Stegostoma tigrinum: one gene and its partner. The protein of the gene in region 1 purifies or fractionates together with the protein of each later gene. This does not show direct contact. Links are inferred from orthologs where the notes say so. Each region holds a gene or a part of one and is shown on either strand. Other genes may lie near its edges.

Region 1 (10,872 bases):
GCATGACTTCCCAGGCCAGTGAACATTTGTCCTAGTGCCCTCTACTTTACATACTATCATTTGTAAGATCATCCACAGACGAGATGAAATTACAGCCAGTTCTATTTCTCTCAATCTCTTCACTATCTCCATATTCTCTTCACCACAAAAGACACCTGCTCTCATCTCTGTAGCCTCATTCACCCTTAGCTCAGTGCAACTGCAGCTGAGATCCCAAACAATTGTATCCACACTTTAGTGTTCCACAGCTCAACCGTCTGGCTTCCCATCCTCTACCCATATAAAATTTACCTGATTCATAACATAGCTGCCAACATTCTGACTTGCAACAAGTTCCACAAAACCCAGTACCCCCGCCCCCCTCAGTCAACATTGGGGTGACGGTATCCAGTAGTCAAAAGCTAACATTTTCATCCCGGTATTCTTGCATGGTTCTGGCCTCTGTAAGCCCCATTATCTATTTTCCCTATGAAACAAGTCATGCCCTTATGGGCCTTTGATGCGCACTCTTCAGTGCTGACCAGGACCCTTCTTCTGGTATTCTCAAACATCTCCACTTAAATACTTTCCTTTTGAAGGCCCTCCTTGAAATCCACTTTTTTGACTAAGCTACTGATTGAAATGTGTGTCACGGCTAGACAGGGTGGCTAAGGCGACATAGAGCGGCGTGGTGGCTCAGTGGTTAGCACTGCAGCATCAGGAATCCAGGTTCAATTCCAGCCTTGGGCGGGAGTCTGTGTGGAGTTTGCATATTCTCCCCCGCGTCTGCATGGGTTTCCTCCAGGTGCTCCGGTTTCCTCCCACAGTCCAAAGATGTGCAGGCTAGGTGGATTGGCTATGCTAAATAAGTGTTCAGGGGTGTGTGGGTTATGGGGGATGTGTCTGGGTGAGGTGCTTCAAGGAGCGATGTGGACTAGTTGGGCCAAAGGGCCTGTTTCCACACTGTAGGTAATCTAATCTAACACACTTGCCTTCATTACTCAGGCCTTTGTATCTAGGAGTTGTGATGTCATATTGAGGTTACACAAGACGTTGGTGAGGCTTCTTCTGGAATACTGTACGCAGTTCTGGTTGCCAAGCAAGGTTATTTTAAAACTGGACAGGGTTCAGAAACAATTTACCAGAATGTTGCCAGGAATGAAAGATTTGAGCTATAAAAATGGCTGGTTAGGCTAGGATTATTTTCACTGGAGCACAACAGGTTTGAAGTGTGACTTTCGAGAGGTTTAGATAATCATCATCGGGGCACAAGGTAAACAGCAAGGGTTCTTTTCCACCCCCTACTGTTGGGGATTTCAAAACGAGGACTTTTTTAATGCGCAAGGAAAAAAAAACTTTAAAAAAAACACAAGGGGTAACATTTTATTAAACAGAGTGGTTCATGTATTGAATGAATTACCAGAGGAAGTGGTACAGTCAGAACATTTAAAAGACATTTAGATAAGTACACAACTAGAAAAGGTTTGGTGGGATATGGTTCAAATGCAGGCAGATGGGTCAGGTTTAACTTGGGAACATGCTCTGCATAAACGAGTCGGACCAAAAGGTCTGTTTCCGTGCTTTATGAATCTATGACTCTGACTAACTCTGCCTTCTTTGTTCTTGCCTCTGTTTTCCTCTTATTATGCATCCATGTAGAGTGTCTGGGAATGTTTACCTTCATTACAAGCTGCATACAAAAAAAGTCAGTTGTTGCCATTGTTGAATTTTGTTGCAGTTTTACACAATTACAGGAAGTGACACTGGAAACTGAAATAATTTCAGTTTCACTCACAGTACTCAAACATTGATACGAAAAGGTAGGGTCCATGCTACTTTACAGGAGGTTGCCAAAATTACTGAATGCACTCAGTCCCAAACGCAAGCATCATTTCCACAAGGCAAGTGCTGAAATATATTGTTTAGAGATCTGTGTTGCTAATATTCGTAGAACTAACTTCTCTGAAATCGATGTTTAAAACAAAACCAAGCAATTTGGTGCATTTACCATTGCCAAACAGGAAGCTGAAAAATAATGTAATATCTGTGCCATATAATTGAGGTTGTGGAACATTCATTGGGTTTGGTACCCCACTCTTACACTCACATCAACACATATTACATCTTGTCAAGACTGAATTAAAGCCTCTCCTTTCCAATTAGATACATAGATTTTACTTGGAATTAACCTTAGTCTTCAACTTGGCTTCTCGTGGGCATCAGTCCAAAATTGTAAAGTTGCTACTAAACATGCAGCAAAAACAGGAAACCTGCATTTTCCTGAAGGAGAAACAAGTGACACAAAAGATGCGTTCTGGGGGGGTAACTTGACTGATTCACTTTGTACCAGCCAAGTTATTCCTGACTTGGTGACTGTAGACAGATAATGTTTCCAAATCATATTATTCTTAAAACTGACTGCAAAACAGTACAATTCTGAAGAACCCAATGTATTTATTTGTTTCAAATGCAGTTGCATTATAATTTATTACAATTCTACATGCTTCATCCAAGGTATGTCCTGCAGAATGCTCACCTACAACTATATTTATGCTTTGATGCAACTTTAGGTCTCAGCTTATACCATCCACACTGGGAACTCCAGCCTGCTGAGCTCCTTATCCACCACATTCCAACACACTGATTTCCCTGAACTCTTCAAATCTTGCTACATTTCTCAAATAAAAGCCAAGTTCTATGAACATTGGAGCATTTGTTTCAAAGAGCCATATCAGATCTAAAAGGGCAGTGGTGGATCCTTGTTGACACAACAGGTACTGGTCTGAAGAGTCACAGATGCTGCCAAAACTGCTAAGCTTTTCCAGCAACTTCTGTTCTTGTTCCTGATTCACAGAAGCCACGACCTCTCGTTTTTTTAAAACTTGGTTTTGTGGTCGCATTTCTCCATGTTTTCAATTCAAGATCTCTCTTTGCTTGTACTACCTTGAAGTGTTTATAGACATGCCAGCTTTTGCAAAATGAACTAAGGCAGGACTTGCATGTATTTACAGCTTGTCTGCGCAGAATGAACAATTTTAATACATCCCCTACCCCATGAAATTGATTTGCAAATACAGAAACTTAAGACAAGAGTTTATCAGACTGGAGTATCACCATTCGCCCCTAAAAACCCAAAGTTGAAATCAATTCTTCAACTTGGTTAAACAAATTCGATTACTACATAGACCATACTTTTCAAGTTCAAAATATCACTTCACTAAGAATGTATTGACCATGCAACATCTGAATACTTTATATTTTCAAAGGGCTTTTGTTCAGTTTAATAACAGATAGTACAAGAAAACGAATTTAATATTGCAGCTCACTGTCATCGAGTTCAACTCAAAAGTATCCAAGGTCGGTTAACACGTACAAGCACAAACTAACTCAGATCTGTGCTTTCGCAGCCGCCTGTCAGTGGAAACTCAATACATCTGTCTATTAGTTTCATGACGATTTAACCAGCGTTACACAGCAGAAATATTCGTTGCACCCTTTCTCCTCTCCTGCATACCAAAAAGTTTCATCATCGAACTGAAACCAGACCTCACTTTAGGACAACGAAGTCCTGGCCAAAAGTCTTCTTACGAAGAAAATGCCAACTCTCTGATCTCCAAAAATGTCGGGAAAGACTTTAAGCTCAAACAGCAAAGTGAAAGTTTGTAAACCGATACATTCGCGATAACTAGACCCAGCAATAAATTAAATGTCGGTGGCAGTAAAGAGAGATGACAAGGAACTGAACCCAGACTTAAGATGCGGTTAATGTCTATCAATTCCCTCGTCATTGGCCCACTCCGTGGTAGAGCCTGACCAGAGTGGCCGTGTGCCTGGCGGACCCTCTGATATGTCGTACCCAATACCCCCGCCTTTCTCGCAAGCACAAAGTCCTCCAGTGTCAGGGCAGGATGCCGACGGAAACTTCCAGACAGAGCCTAAGACGAACAGACCAGTATCTGTCTCGTCGACGGGGTTTCACCACCGCCCTTTTATTGATCTCCTCACTTACGCACCCTCGCACTCCACTGCCTCACCTCCACCTCCCCCTGCCCTAACCAACTACAGTAGGTTCACGTCCGCTAACTTTCAGCCTTTCCCTGCACAATTATCCCGAACTCACCACCTCCGCCAAAACTCCCGCTTACCCAAACTGTCCTCTCACTCTCTCTCTCCTCCTGTCCCCATCCCTCCTCTTTCCTCGCTCTTCATTCGCCCCCCGCTCCACCCCCACATACCTTGCCCATTGCTCCGGCCACCCGGGCGGACATCTTGTTTTCGTAGTTCTCTGAAGGAAAAGCACAAACGCCGACCTCGCTCAGCTACACTGCCTTTCCTCACAGATTGGAAGCGAGCATTCTAGTGCGACAGTAGAAAACAGCCACTCAATCGAAGCTTTCCCCGTGCCCTCTGAGCTCGAAGAGACTATCCTCAGTCTCCTCCCGAATTCCGGTGGCCGGTTGCACAAGCACAAAACAACAAGGCCGCGGGACTCTCAGCACCAACCAATAGGAGCACACCCGGCTCGTCATATGGTAACGCCCCCTTTTTACTGGTTGATGGCAGAGGGGCGGGGCCAGTTTCCCCGCGCGTCTCGGCTTCGGCTTCGATGGTGGAGCCGCGCGCACGACGAAGAGGATCAATCACTGGCATCCAGCCCCTGGGTTCGGTCTGTAGCTCCGGGCTCGAACTCCAGGCTCGGTTTCTAGCTTCCCCACCGAACTCCTGCCCCAGGGATCCGTGTACACCCATGCAAGAACCCTGTGTTCTTCTGAGTTTCCCAGAGTACTCCCAAGTTACTTCTTCCAAAAGGCCTCACTTCACATTTATCACGGTTAAGTTCCAGCTGCCCAAGAACTTCTTCCTCACTGCTAACCACGAAGCCAACCTTTTGTGTCGTACACAACCCAAGTTATCACTCGCTCTTCCACGCCTCCATGAATATTGGTCTACCTTGTTGTTTGTGATTGTAGATAAATACTGTGCACTGATCTCCACTCACATAGCCTTCTACCACCATCCTCTGTCTCCTACTATGAAGACAATTTTGGATCCAACTTGCCAAGTTATCCTGGCTCCCATGTGATTTTATCCTCTTTATCAGCCTTCCATATGTGCGTCCTTGTCAAAGACTTGCCAAAATCAATATAAACTACATCTACTGTATTATCCTCATCTTCACACTTGGTCACCTCCTCAAAAAGTTCAGTCAAATTTGTTACAATTACTTCTTTCTGACAAAGCCATGCTGACTATCCCTAATCAAATTGCCTTCATAAGTGGAGATTAAACCTGTCCTTCAGAATTTTCTCCAATTGTTGTACTACCACTACTTCAAGGCTCTAGCATGTTCCCCATGACAACTGACTGGCCTGTAGCTTCCTATCTCCCTTCTTTCTTGAAGAGAGTAGTCAAATTCATAATCTTTCAACGTGGTGGGACTTTTTCAGTAACAAATCTTCTTTATTCAAAATTCAAACCAATACATCCAGCAGCCATCAATGTTAAGATCCTTGGACAAAGCCCATCAGGACCTGGGGACTTGTGCTAATTTAGTTCCAATAATTTTATTAACATCCTTTCCCTGGTGATAATATTTTTTAAGTTCTTTCCTCCCTTTCAACTTTTGATTTACAATTATTTTGAAAATGTTATTTGTGTACTCTGCAGTGAAGACAAACACAAAATCTGATGAATTCATCTTCTATTTGCTTATTCTCCCTCATTAATTCCCCAGACATGTGGAATATCTGTTCTATATTTCCAGCATTTATTCTCTTGTACTCCCATAAAAATTCTCCCTCCTCATTATTCTCTTCGTCATTGTTGCTTCTTTTTTACATAAAAACATGCAAAATAGAAACGGGAGGAGGTCAGAAAATAAAACAAAAATTGCTGGAAAAACTCAGCAGGTCTGGCAGCACCCATGGAAAGAAAGCAGAGTTAATGTTTGGGTCCATTGACCCCCGTCTTTCTTTCCACAGCCCATGTGATGACAAGGCCAGGTGTGTGGCTTTTGGAGTAAGGACATGGGAGAAGGTGCTCCAGCTCCAAAATTGTTGAACTCGATATTGAGTTCAGAAGGCTGCAAAGTTCCCAAGCAGAAAATGAGGTGCCGTTCTTCCAGCTTATACTGAGCTTTGATGAAGCACTGCAGCAAACCTGAGACAGAGATGTTGGCAAAGGAAGATGATGGCATGTTGAAGTGGCAGACAACTGGAAGCTCAGGGTTATTTTGGCAGCCAGACCATAAGTGTTCCACAAAACAGTCACCCAGTCTGCACTTCGTTTCCCCAGTATAGAGACTACATCGTAAGCAGCCGATAATGCAGTAGACTAGATTGAGTGAAACAGGTAAAGGGCTGCTTCAAACGGAAGATGTGTTCACGCCTTGGATGGTGAGGAGGGAGAGAGCAATTAGGTAAGTGTTACACCTTCTGTGATTGCAGGGGAAGGTGCCCTGGGGGCCATGTTGGGAGTGAAGAAGTGGACCAGGGTGTCCCTGGGGGAACAGTCGCTAAAGAAGGCTGACAATGAAAGGGAGGGGCATGTGCGTGTGGTAGAGGCAACCCATTGGAGGTAGTGAAATGGCAGCTAATGATCATATGTATGTGGATGCTGATGGATGGTAGGTGAGAAGTAGGGGGACCCTGTCCTTGTTGTGGGAGAGAAGAGAGAGCATGAGGGCCGAAATGAGAGATGGTTCAGCCCAGGAGACCCATTCAGCTTATCAAACCTGCTCTGTCATATAATGAGATAATGGCAGTTCTTCTATCTCGATGCCATTATCCCATGTATTATATATAAGTATCCTGATGTCTCTAAGCACTATTTTGACTAATCTCTGACCTACCGCTAATCGTGATGGAATTGTATTCTTTCTCTTTCAACTGGACACTATCTTTAAGTATTTCCTTAGTTACTCACAGATGGTGTATTCTACCCTTAAAATTTTTCTCACTGGAATGCATCTTTGTTCTAATTGTTCTGAAATATCTCCTTAAATTTCTGCCACTGTATCTGTACAGATCTCCACAGATCTACCCCTTAACTTAATTCCCCAGTACCTCAACTAATTCTAATAAATGCTCTTACTTAAGTTTAAAATAACTGTCTTAGACAAACCCTTCTTTCCCTCAAACTGAATGCAAAATTAATTCATGTTAAGACCACATCTACCTTGGGGATACCTATGTTGTGCAATCCCCCTCCTGTTTGCATATTGCTGATTCAGCTTAAGAGTTTTTATAGTTTGTTTTCCCAGTTGATGCTGTACTTAAAATATAATTTAATACAAGACTAAAGCAAAAGCAGAATCTATACAGCATTCAGGCTTTGCTGGTTGATTTGATGTCACTAATCTAAGTGACAGTGGGAATGTGGCAGGAAACTCTTAAACCACAAGTATTTCAGATATAACTTGCTGTGGTTTCCTGCCTTCTCTCACAAGAGAGATGTTCTCAAAGTACAGCGGGTGCTGGAAATCTAAAGTAAAACTAGAAAATAAAGGAAACAGCAAATCATGCAGTATCTACGGAGAGAAAAAGAAAGAAAAAGTTCGGATCAGTGACTTGGCATTAGGACAAATATATTTAGTTCCTATTGGAACTGATGTTTTGTGCAGACAAGGTGTAAATTCTGCATTGTTAGAATGGATTGTTCCTATAAAGAAAGCTGAAAACTAGAATCAAGGTGAGTCATGGAACTCAACTAGATGTAAAATCAAAACAGAATCATGTAATACTATGCATCTAATTAAATATAGAATCATTTGTAAATGTATTGTAACGTTTCATTCAATTATCCTTACACTTTCAAAAAATACATTATTTCTTTTTGGTGCATTTTCCATTGGCCAGGGCACAAACACTAACCTGGCTAACAATGCCCACATACTGTGAAAGAATAAAACAAATTCTTACGTAATGATCAAAGCATTTGAAACCAGAATTCTAATGGAGTAGGAAGAAAATCAATTCCAAATGAGTACGAGGAAGTTGATACTTTTAGGCTGAGTAAAAATTTCAGTGGGGATTAGACAGGGTCAATGTTGGAAGGACACCAGAACTTAGGCATCACATTCTCTGGATAAGAGGTTGGACAGAAAGGACTCTTATGGGGGGTAATTTGTTTTTTCTGACGGTTGAAAATCTTTGTCATTCTCTATCTCATGGAACCATGCATGCTCAGTTGATGAGTATGTTCAAGGATGTAATCAATGGGCTTTTGGTTTCTAAGTGAATTGAGGCTCTGGAAGGCAAGTGAAGTTGAAAATGAGAATCAGCTATCAATTCACGGAATAGTGCAGCTGAAAGTATAACCTAGTCTTGCTCTTATTTCCTATGTTCTTGTGAGAGGACATTATGCAGAAAAAAACTCATTGAATGGTGGGTTGTCAAAACAATTTTTTTTTCTATTTTAAAATTTTAACCTGAAATTATAGGATATGATCTGATCTGAGCAGGAATTGCAGTATTATCCTTGTTAAGTTTCTTCTCACCCTCTTCACTACATGTGCACATTCTTCCAGGACTGCAATTATGGTCTTCCAAGATTTAATACAGATACACAAAAAAGCTTCACCACATTTCAATTCTATGGTTTCAGAAGAAAGCTGACTTTATGCCAGAGATCATAGGAACTGCAAATGCTGGAGAATCTGAGACAACAAGCTGTAGAGCTGGATGAACACAGCAGTCCAAGCAGCATCAGAGGAGCAGGAAGGCTGACATTTCGTTGAAGAAGGATCTGGGCCCAAAAAGTCAGCCTCCCTGCTCCCCTGATACTGCCTGGCCTTTTGTGTTCAATCAGCTCTACACCTTGTTATCTCACGTTATGCCACCTGGTTTTGGTTTGGTGGCCTTAATAACTTGTGACAACTTTTAGTGATTGGTGCTTTTGTACTCCATGATCCTTTTGTTGCTCTAACCTACCTAGACTTTCATTTACCAAGTAATAAGTCCTTAATTTTTCTACCCTGCTCATGTATATCAGCACTGATGTTAACATGCAAATTATTTGCCCATTCTTCATGTTTATGAATATTTTCTTACTATTTATTACAGTCCTTTGAAGTATTGACTATCCCTGTATAATATGCAAATTTAGAGAAAATATTTTGATCAAAAGTCCAAATCATAAATCCCAATGCTGCTACACGTACTCTTGCGGAACACCATTTCCCAACTTTTATTACTGTGAATGACTAACCTTTACTCCCATTGTCTGCTTACTGCTTTTAAACTAGTTCATGGTCCATTCTGCCACTTATCCCCAGATTCCATAATCTTTAACTTCTTTTATACATTAATTGGGGGCTCATTATTGAAGACCTTTTGAAAAGCCAGATAAATTACACAACTTCATTCCATCGATTACATCTCAGATACCTTTTCAAAAATTTCAAATAAGTTAGTCAAGCAAGAATGTCATTTCCTTCATTTAGTCAAAAGAAACATAGGGGTAACATGGACTAAGATAGGTTATGTGGTAGCATCAGGAAGTGAGACCCATCTTGATATTGGGAGCAATTCTCACGATGTAATATTATTTTCACAAGTGGTGTGGTGAAATTCTTGATCAACAAAGGCAAGTTGCCAATTGATAGGGACTACTGTTTGTTAAACACGTTGGTAACAGTGAGACCCATCTTGATATTGGGAGCAATTCTCACGATCTAATATTATTTTCACAAGTGGTGTGGTGAAATTCTTGCTCAACAAAGGCGAGTTGCCCATTGACAGGGACTACTGTTTGTTAAACATGTTGGTAACAGTCGAACTCACCTCATAAATATTTAGTTTCCCTTCTTACCAAACTTGCCAAACAACTCAATGTCAGGAAACCTCAACAAGAAAACCAGGGTGAGCTTATTCAGCATGCTTCAAACAACCTCCATGTTAGACACTTGGCACCACTTTTCAGGGAATGCTCCGCGGACACTGGCCACAAACAACCCATGTCCAGTGGGAGCTAGCTCTTAGAACCTGCAAGACACATCTCAGAAGATACACTTACAAGATACTTCAATGCTGTATCAGCAAGATCACTGTAATGCTACAGTAAGGACCTGCACACTCAGACGCAACCCACCTCATGGCCTGAACCAGCTTGTATCTCCAGACTTTTCATTCAATCTGTTAGTGTACAATCACTCTGAGTCTACCTGGTTACTCACAGCATCCTTGTTATTGTGCTTTGCTACTCAGCTGGTATATGAGGTTCATATTACTTCAGCCTTGTTATTGTGCTTTGCTACTCAGCTGGTATATGAGGTTCATATTACTTCAGCCTTGTTATTGTGCTTTGCTACTCAGCTGGTATATGAGGTTCATATTACTTCAGCCTTGTTATTGTGCTTTGCTACTCAGCTGGTATATGAGGTTCATATTACTTCAGCCTTGTTATTGTGCTTTGCTACTCAGCTGGTATATGAGGTTCATATTACTTCATCCTTGTTATTGTGCTTTGCTACTCAGCTGGTATATGAGGTTCATATTACTTCATCCTTGTTATTGTGCTTTGCTACTCAGCTGGTATATGAGGTTCATATTACTTCATCCTTGTTATTGTGCTTTGCTACTCAGCTGGTATATGAGGTTCATATTACTTCATCCTTGTTATTGTGCTTTGCTACTCAGCTGGTATATGAGGTTCATATTACTTCATCCTTGTTATTGTGCTTTGCTACTCAGCTGGTATATGAGGTTCATATTACTTCAGCCTTGTTATTGTGCTTTGCTACTCAGCTGGTATATGAGGTTCATATTACTTCATCCTTGTTATTGTGCTTTGCTACTCAGCTGGTATATGAGGTTCATATTACTTCAGCCTTGTTATTGTGCTTTGCTACTCAGCTGGTATATGAGGTTCATATTACTTCATCCTTGTTATTGT
Region 2 (10,231 bases), on another chromosome or scaffold:
GCCATGTGGCACTTTAGCCCACAGGTTAAAGAGAACTGAGCAACATATTTTTAATTGGCTGGCCAACAGAAGACAGCGAGTGGTAGTAGAAGGAAAATATTCTGCCTGGAAGTCAGTGGTGAGTGGAGTTCCACAGGGCTCTGTCCTTGGGCCTCTACTGTTTGTAATTTTTATTAATGACTTGGACGAGGGAATTGAAGGATGGGTCAGCAAGTTTGCAGACGACACAAAGGTCGGAGGTGTCGTTGACAGTGTAGAGGGCTGTTGTAGGCTGCAGCGGGACATTGACAGGATGCAGAGATGGGCTGAGAGGTGGCAGATGGAGTTCAACCTGGATAAATGCGAGGTGATGCATTTTGGAAGGTCGAATTTGAAAGCTGAGTACAGGATTAAGGATAGGATTCTTGGCAGCGTGGAGGAACAGAGGGATCTTGGTGTGCAGATACATAGATCCCTTAAAATGGCCACCCAAGTGGACAGGGTTGTTAAGAAAGCATATGGTGTTTTGGCTTTCATTAACAGGGGGATTGAGTTTAAGAGTCGTGAGATCTTGTTGCAGCTCTATAAAACTTTGGTTAGACCGCACTTGGAATACTGCGTCCAGTTCTAGGCGCCCTATTATAGGTAAGATGTGGATGCTTTGGAGAGGGTTTAGAGGAGGTTTACCAGGATGCTGCCTGGACTGGAGGGCTTATCTTATGAAGAGAGGTTGACTGAGCTCGGTCTCTTTTCATTGGAGAAAAGGAGGAGGAGGCGGGACCTAATTGAGGTATACAAGATAATGAGAGGCATAGATAGAGTTGATAGCCAGAGACTATTTCCCAGGGCAGAAATGGCTAGCACGAGGGGTCATAGTTTTAAGCTGGTTGGTGGAAAGTATAGAGGGGATGTCAGAGGCAGGTTCTTTACGCAAAGAGTTGTGAGAGCATGGAATGCGTTGCCAGCAGCAGTTGTGGAAGCAAGGTCATTGGGGTCATTTAAGAGACTGCTGGACATGTATATGGTCACAGAAATTTGAGGGTGCATACATGAGGATCAATGGTCGGCACAACATTGTGGGCTGAAGGGCCTGTTCTGTGCTGTACTGTTCTATGTTCTATGTTCTATATTTTGTTTGGAGGAAGTGAGTGAAGTTTAAGGAGAAGTTCATAAACAAGCTCAGCTGGTGCTCTAGGAGGGAAGTGGTGTATGAAAACTAGTTGAACTGCTCGCATGTCGAGGAAGGTTTAGAGGGGCTGTTCCTCCATGATGAAATGGCAATGGTCAGGGTTAGGAACTGGAAATCTTTACAATGGCAGAGGGAATTTGAAGAGTAGCAGGGATAGGTGGGAAGACAATACAAACAGGAAAATAGTCAAAATGGCAAGAAGAAAGAGCTAAGATGTTGACGAAATGAAGCGTCTACCACGATTCTGAATAAGAGTCATTAGACTTGAGATGTTAATTCTGTTTCTCTCTCCACAAATGGCAGCTCTGCTGGGTTTTTCCAGCATTTTCTGTTTTCATTTCGGTCTGCCATGGTTTTCCTCTTCGTCGAGGAAGAAAAAAATGGGCTTTCTGGAGTTGGAAGGCCATAAGATTGGAGACGTGGGAGGTAGGTTTACAGCGATATGGGGTCCATGATGGTCTGGGAAATAAATGTTTAATGTTGTATTTCTGGTCCTGTAAGTAAGCAGTGTCTGATCAATCAATGATAATAAAACCAAAAGACAGAGAAACAGGCTATTCAGCCCACTGAGTCTGCTGTGCCATTTAATGAGATCATGGGTGATCTGATCATTCTCAACTCAGATGCTAGCTTTTTGTGAAACATAGATGAGGAGTCCCTAATCCCACAGTGCTGTAGCTTTCTGCAAAGTTTCCCCATTTAAAAAGCTCCTCTATTCTTCCTGTTCCAGTGAATAACCTCAGATTTTCCCACATTAAATTCCAGTTTTAATGAAATGTTACCAGTCCTGAAACATTAACCCTGTTTTTCTCTACAGGTACTGTTAGACCTGCTGTGTTTCGCTAGCATATTGTTTTCGTTTCAGATTTCCAGCATCCACAGTTCTTTGTGTTCATTCTGGCAATCCTCAATTTCATTTTCCCACCTTTACCATATAACCCTTGCTTCCTTTACTGATTAAAAATCTGTCTGTCTCAGTGTTCCCTATACATAACAACCCAGCCTTCACAGCCCTGTGTGGTAAGCAACTCTGCAGATTCATTATCCTCTGGGTAAGAAATTCCTCCTCAACTCTGTTTTAATTGTAAAACATATTATTCTGAGATTATGACACTGCTCCTATGCTACTCCACAAGGGAAAACTACTTTCCACATGCGCCCTGTTAAGTCCCTTAAGATTCTTTTATATTTCAACAAGGTTGCGTCTCACTTCTTCAGAACTCCAATGATTAAAGGCCGAATCCACTCAACCTTTCCTCCTAAGACAGTCATCCATCTCTGGTATTGGCCTAATGAACCTTCTCTGGGCTGCCTCCAATGCCATTACATCTTTCCTTAGATAAGGGGCCCAAAACTGCTTAACATATTTGAGACGAGGCTTAACTAGTCTGTGTACAGTTATTGCAAAACCTCCAAACTGTTATATACTATTTCTCGTGAATAAAAGCCAACAATGCATTTGCCATCCCATTTACCCACTGAACTTGGAATCATAGCTTTTTGTGATTCATGGATTTATTCATGATGCCACAATGCTACACCTATTTTCCATTCTTTCTCACCTATTCTTATAAAGTGTACAGTCCTAGAGTCATAGAGTTGTACAACATGGAAACAGACACTTCCATTAACTCATCCATGCTGGCCAGATAGCCTAAATTAATCTAGTTTCATTTGCAAGCACCTGGCCCAAATCCCTCCACACCTTTCCTATTCATCTATCTATTGGCAGGCCTTTCAAATGTTGTAATTGTACCAGCCTCCACCACTTCCTCCGGCAATTCATTTCAGACAAGCACCACTCTCTGCATGAAAAAAGTTGCCCCTTAGGTCCCTTTTATATCCTTCTTCTCCCACTTTAAACCTATGCCCCCTAGTTTTGGATCCACTACCCTGGGAAAAAGACATAGAAATATAGAAATTAGGTGCGGGATTAGGCCAATTAGCCTTTCGAGTCAGCACTATCATTCAATATGATTGTGGCTGGTCATGCAATCTTAGTATTCCATTCCCACCTTCTCCCCACATTTCTTGATCCCTTTACTGCAAGGGCCATGTCCAGCTCCCTCTTGAATATAAGTAATGAGCTGGCTCCATCAACATCCTGTGGGAGAGAATTCCACAGGTTCACACCTCTCTGAGTGAAGAAATTCTTCCTTATCTCAGGCCTGAATGGCTTGCCCTTATTCTTCGGCTGTGACCCCTCATTCTGGACTTCCCTAACATTGGGAACATTATTCTCACAGTTAGCCTGTCCAGTCCCATCAAGATTTTAATGTTTCTATGAGATCATCCCTCATTCTTCTAAATTCCAACAAGTACAAGCCCAGTTAATCCAGTCCTTCCTCAGTCTTGCCATCACATGAACCAATTTGGTGAACCTTCACTAGATTCCCTCAATAGCAAGAATGTCCTTCCTCAGACTCGGAGATTAAAACTGCACAACCAGACATTGACTATTCCCCCTATCCATGCCGCTCATGATTTTATAAGCATCTATGAGGTCACACCTCATAATTCATCTGCCGCAGTCAGTTTTCTCAGCTTCCTGGCATCCGTACTCTTGTCAACAGAGCTTCCGAGAACCTTGTATTGCAAGGGGCCAAGGCTCCTCAAGTGCAACCCCCAGGGTCTTCATACATGCCTCAGTGGGAGTCACACCCTCCTGACCCTAATGACTGACCAATTTTGAATAATTGTGGCACGGTGGCTCAGTAGTTAGCACTGCAGCCTCACAGCACCAGGGATCCAAGTTCAATTCCAGCCTTGGGCGACTGTCTGTGTGGAGGTTGCACATTCTCCCCACGTCTGCGTGGGTTTCCTCCGGGTGCTCCGGTTTCCTCCCACTGTCCAAAGATGTGCAGATTAGGTGGATCGGCCATACTAAATTGCCCGTAGTGTTCAGGAGTGTGTGGGTTATAGTGGGATGGGTTTGAGTGGGATGCTTTCGGGGCGGTGTGGACTTGTTGGGCCAAAGGGCCTGTTTCCACACTGTAGGGAATCTAATCTAATATAGTCTGAGTGGTGTGACAACACTCTAGACAATTTCCCCACTCCATAATGTAGAGCAATAGTGCAATTTTAATAAGACTCAGATTTGATCTAATTCACTGACTTTATTTGGCCATCCTTGCCCTGAATGCAGTCATATGAATATTTGCCTTTTGACCTGAGCAATCCCATATAATATCCTTGTTGACACTACGATAGATTCTTATCTTGAACAGGTGGATGTATTTGCATGCATAGCCTTTGCAAGATGGAGTTAGTTGGTCCAGCAACAACTGTTCTTTAGAATGGGGGACCGTGATTGTCTACAACAGACATTGATCATTAGGGTAGGGCGTGCACTCATCACGTGGATTTCCAGGCCGCTTAGTTTCTGTTGACAAATACTTCACCAAACCATTGAGTCATTGGCATTACACTCTGTCTGTCTGTTGTGGGGAAAATACCTTCTCATCGCATCACCTGTACTGCAGCAACTTCAAACTTGCGAAATAAATGCCACTGAAGGGGAAGTAACAAAATAAGATGATGGAAACACCAGTTTAAATAACAAGACTGAATGTTTTCTATGCGTTGTACGGCAATTGAATGACCAAAAATACGTCAAACCGGCATAAGTGTGAACGTGGCTGTTAGGTAACTTACAAAGAATATGCGACAAATTGATTCTGTTTTTGATATCTGATCAAATAGCAAATCAACGAAGCCTCCCCAATTTACACACATACCAAAAAAAAGCCTAACCTCAATTTCCAAGTTCACAATTACTGACAACTGAATTTTGTTTTGATAAAGCTGCGAGTTTCGAATCAGACGAAGCTCTCAACAGGATTGCATTGTTGTTTATGTTGGTGTGTAGTGAGGTGAAGGAGGGTGAGGTCTGCCTGTTACTTCACCTTCCCGCCCCCCTCCAGGGAGGTGCTGGCGGCTGTGCAGCCTATTGTCGGGAGGGTTTGGCGGGGACGTTTGCTCTCACTCTCACGGCAGGTCAGGTTTCACAGTGAGCAGCAACTATTCCACCCAACTTTTGCCGAAACACAGACTTTGAGGAGAGATAGGATTGATATCTCGATGCTTTAATATTGCCTATTTCCAGCCTATCAGTGGTTTTATATTCAACTTTTAAAGACAAACGTCAGTTATCAGTAATTCTTGATTTGGAAATTTCTGTCTGTGTAAATTAGGGAGCTTCGATCATTTGATTCTGATGTTGTATGTCTGGTGTTTGTTAAGGTTTGAGCGGGATTTGAGTTTGGAAAAGATAAGTGATTACAGAGGATTTAAACCTAATAGCGTCAACATGTCGTCGGGGCGAATGTACGACAGCCCACCTCCTTACCACCCTGGTAGCGAATACAAGTGAGTATCTCTCCAGTCACACAACTCGGCTTTTCTTTGTGAGAATTTCTTTATCTTCCGTGTAATTTATAATTATTAAGATCAACTTCGGTTCTACCTTAAGGTAGGATAAATCAGACTTGTGAATGAAATGTTTCAAGTTGCCTTCCCTTTCCTCATTCTCCTGAATGTGCTGGGGTGAGCTCCCACTGATCTCAGCTGCAGTTTTCACTTGGCTCAATTTTGTGTGAAGAGGTGAAGACGGTGTCCACCATTACCTCCTGTTTCTACCTGTTGTCTGTGTACGGTGACTGATCCCAACCCTCTCCTCAGTCGGGAACACTTCCCAATTTGTTAGAATCCACACTCAGTGCAATCTGGGATTTTCCTGGTAAGTGTTGCTTAGTTATTCACTATCTCAGAAATGGTTTGTCGTTACAATAATCGACTAAACCACAAGGAAAGGTTGGAGTTTTTTTTAACAGTGAAAAGCAAGATGGGGTGAACTTTAATTCCACCAGCAATTAATTCGTTTCAGTACGTTGCTATTATCACAGAAATTTAACTAATAGGGGCATTTCAGCATTCTCAATATTGAATACAACCAAAAGCAACAAAGTAGTTCCACCATATTCTGTGTGGTAATAATATTAAACAAATGTTGTACCTGTAACTAATAATAATCCTCTTGACCTGGTAGAAGTGTATAAAACTGAGAGCCATGGATAGTATTTATAGTCAGTACCTCTGTCCCAGGATGAGAATGTCAAATTTTCGGGGGCATTGCTTTAAGGTGAGGGGAGAAGGAGTTGGAAGGAGATGTGTGAGGCAGGTTTTGTTTTACTCAGAGAATGGTAGATACATGGAACAGCCTTGGGAGGTAGTAGAAGCAGAGATAATATCAACAGTTATGAGGTATTTAGACACATACATGAACAGGCAGGAAATGGAGAGGTACAGGCCATGTACAAGCTGATGGGATTAGTTTAGAATGGAATCATAGTTGGCACATGGTGGGTTGAAGGGCCTGTTCACGTGCTGTACTGTTCTGTAATCGCTGTTAATCCTCTGATAAGGGCGCAGGAGACCCGAGTTCAAGTCCCACCTGCTGCAAAGGTGTGTAATCACATCACATCACTGAACAGGTTAATTATAAAGTTCAAAATAAACCTCTGATCTAATGCTAGAATCTTGCTGCGCTCTGTAAGGTCTGGTCTACTGCCCCAGATGATGTCATTGTAAATGGAACATTTGTAGCTGACTGACAAACTGCGTAGAGTAGGGATCAAAATTGGGAGGATGCTGATCTGAATTGTTCAATGCCACACAATGCAGTATGTTGGTCTACTTGGACATCACTGAAATTAAAATAGGGATGGTAAAAGGATTTCACTTTAATCTATGTGCATACATTATATATTTTTGTTATGGATGGTGTGGAACTGTCTTTTTGTTTTGAATTTAATGTGTTATATATATATATGTTTATAATATATATAATATATACCGATATGATGAAATATATATATGAAAAACTGCAACCGCAGGAAATGCTACACTTGTCCCCACACCACCTCCCTCACCCCTATCCCAGGCCCCAAGATGACATTCCACATTAAGCAGAGGTTCACCTGCACATCTGCCAATGTGGTATACTGCATCCACTGTACCCGGTGCGGCTTCCTCTACATTGGGGAAACCAAGCGGAGGCTTGGGGACCGCTTTGCAGAACACCTCCGCTCAGTTCGCAACAAACAACTGCACCTCCCAGTCGCAAACCATTTCCAATCCCCCTCCCATTCTCTAGATGACATGTCCATCATGGGCCTCCTGCACTGCCTCAATGATGCCACCCGAAGGTTGCAGTAACAGCAACTCATATTCCGCCTGGGAACCCTGCAGCCCAATGGTATCAATGTGGACTTCACCAGTTTCAAAATCTCCCCTTCCCCTACTGCATCCCTAAACCAGCCCAGTTCGTCCCCTCCCCCCACTGCACCACACAACCAGCCCAGCTCTTCCCCTCCACCCACTGCATCCCAAAACCAGTCCAACCTGTCTCTGCCTCCCTAACCGGTTCTTCCTCTCACCCATCCCTTCCTCCCACCCCAAGCCGCACCCCCAGCTACCTACTAACCTCATCCCACCTCCTTGACCTGTTCGTCTTCCCTGGACTGACCTATCCCCTCCCTACCTCCCCACCTATACTCTCTCCACCTATCTTCTTTACTCTCCATCTTCGGTCCGCCTCCCCCTCTCTCCCTATTTATTCCAGTTCCTTTCCCCCCATCCCCCTCTCTGATGAAGGGTCTAGGCCCGAAACGCCAGCTTTTGTGCCCCTGAGATGCTGCTTAGCCTGCTGTGTTCATCCAGCCTCACATTTATTATCTATGATAATTGCAACTCTGGTTGTTCTGCATCATAGTGCAAAGCTCACAGAATATTAAAATTATGTGCACCCATTCCTTTGGATTAGAAAGCATACTGTTGGATGCATAGAAAATAAAGGTCTTTGAAAACAATTCATTTAGCTCCACCTGATTGTTTTTTTGGTGGTCTGAGAACCATCACATGTTAGATATTAAGCTGAGCAACAACAGAAAGTAAATTGGCCATGTGTATTTTTAAAAATTTTGAATTAAATGTAAATTCACAGCTGGAACATTTTACACAAAATAGATAACCATTTCCAGTTGAACTCTTGCTAATCAATTGAAAGCTGTTCAATATAGATCAGTCATGCAAATGCAGCGTGAATGGGAGCACGTGGATTTCTGCCACATCAGAGCTCTGAGACCACACCTGGTGTATTTGTTGGTGGAGCCAACTAATTCACCACAGACCAGTAAATGAACCCATTACTTTCCTGGGTTATGTCCACAGAGCATATCTATGGGCCAGATAAGAGCTGTACTTCTGTAGTGTACATTATTCTAAATCCACAATTTGATTAGGTTTTGATATGATTTAACACAAATATAGCTGTAGTCCACTTTTCAGGTGGTTAAAATTTCTCAATTTTTTTTGGTCTTTGTACAAATGCCCTCATGATGACAACAGGGGTCAGTTTGCTCAATTGGCTGGTTTACAACATGCAATGGTGGCAACATCACAGGTTCAATTCCTGCTCTGACTGAGGTTACCAAGAAGGTCCTTTCTCAAGCTTGCCCCTCACCTGAGGTATGGTGACCTTCTTGTTAAACCTCCACCAATCATCTCTCTTCTCTCTTTCTCTTTCCAGAGTAGCTCTATGGATTGCTTGGACTATGGCAGTTTTTCTTTTTTTGCGTTCATTTTTTACTTAAGTATTATCACTTGCAACTGAGCAATCTTTCCACAACCAAAATCACCATTTTTTTTACACTACTGAAACCGCAATGGTTAACACTGCTGCCTCACAGCACCAGGACCCAGCTTTGATTCCAGTCTGTGTGGAGTGTGGAATGTAGAACAGTACAGCGCAGTACAGGCCCTTCAGCCCACGATGTTGTGCTGAATTTTAACTGAAACTTAAGGTCTATCTAATCTCCACCCCTACCTTATACTAGCATCCATATGCCTATCTAATAGCTGCTTAAATGCCCCTAATGAGGCTGACTCCACTATCCTCTCCGGCAATACATTCCATGCCTCTGCCACTCTGAGTAAACAACCTACCTCTGACGTCTCCCCAATATCTATCTCCTTTCTCTTTACATCTATGTCCCCTTGTAAAAGCTACCTCCACCCTAGGAAAAAGCCTCTGGTTGTCTACTGTATCTATAACGCTGATCATTTTGTCCGCCTCTATCAAGCCACCTCTCCTCTGTTCTCCCTATGTATGTATGGGTTTCCTCCTGTAGTCCAAAGATGTATGGGTTAGGTGTATTGGCTATGCTAAATTGCCCTTTGGTGTGCAGGCTGGGTGGGTTAACCATGGTAAATGTGGGTATAGAGTGGAATGCTCCTTGGAAAATTGTTGCAAACTCAAAACGCCGATAGGTCTCTATCTCAACTACACAGATTCTGTGATTCTCTGTGTTACTAAACACTGGATGTGAGTTTGCTCGCTGAGCTGGAAGATTCGTTTTCAGAGGTTTCGTCGCCATTCTAGGTAACATCATCGGTGAAGCACTGGTGTTATGTCCCGCTTTCTATTTCTGTTCAGGTTTCCTTGGGTTGGTGATGTCATTTCCTGTTCTTTTTCTCAGAGGATGGTAGATGCGCTCCAAATCAATGTGTTTGTTGATGGAGTTCCGGTTGGAATGCCATGCTTCTAGGAATTCTCGTGCATGTCTCTGTTTGGCTTGTCCTAGGATGGATGTGTTGTCCCAAACAAAGTGGTGTCATTCCTCCTCTGTATGTAAGGGTACTAGTGATAGTGGATCATGTCGTTTTGTGGCTAGTTGATGTTCGTGTATCCTGGTGGCTAGCTTTCTGCCTGTTTGTCACAGTTCTTGCAAGGTATTTTGTAGATGACATTCGTTTTGCTTGTTGTCTGTATAGGGTCTTTTAAGTTCATTAGCTGCTGTTTGTGTGTTGGTAGGTTTGTGGGTTACCCTGATGCCAAGAGGTTCGTGTCGTCTGGCAGTCATTTCCAAAATGTCTTTGATGTAGGGGAGAGTGGTTATGGTTTCTGGGCACATTTTGTCTTGTACACGACCAGTAAAAGCATCTGGTAGCCAATTTAATATTTACATTTAATATTTACATGCAAAGCCTGTTTAAAGGCAGTGC

The links.
Region 2: the proteins of tjp1a (region 1) and oclnb purify together in Homo sapiens (affinity purification with western blotting; 4 studies listed by BioGRID and IntAct, with this or other methods). This does not show direct contact. The link is inferred for Stegostoma tigrinum from reciprocal best matches to the Homo sapiens genes TJP1 and OCLN.

The regions. Positions count from the first base shown.
Region 1 is NC_081389.1:26,743,828-26,754,699, forward strand, and holds the start of tjp1a (tight junction protein ZO-1), read right to left. Parts: upstream 4,480-10,872; 5' UTR 4,248-4,479; coding exon 4,215-4,247; intron 1-4,214. UniProt on the Homo sapiens protein: TJP1, TJP2, and TJP3 are closely related scaffolding proteins that link tight junction (TJ) transmembrane proteins such as claudins, junctional adhesion molecules, and occludin to the actin cytoskeleton.
Region 2 is NC_081356.1:101,345,400-101,355,630, forward strand, and holds the start of oclnb (occludin b), read left to right. Parts: upstream 1-5,170; 5' UTR 5,171-5,384; coding exon 5,385-5,536; intron 5,537-10,231. UniProt on the Homo sapiens protein: May play a role in the formation and regulation of the tight junction (TJ) paracellular permeability barrier.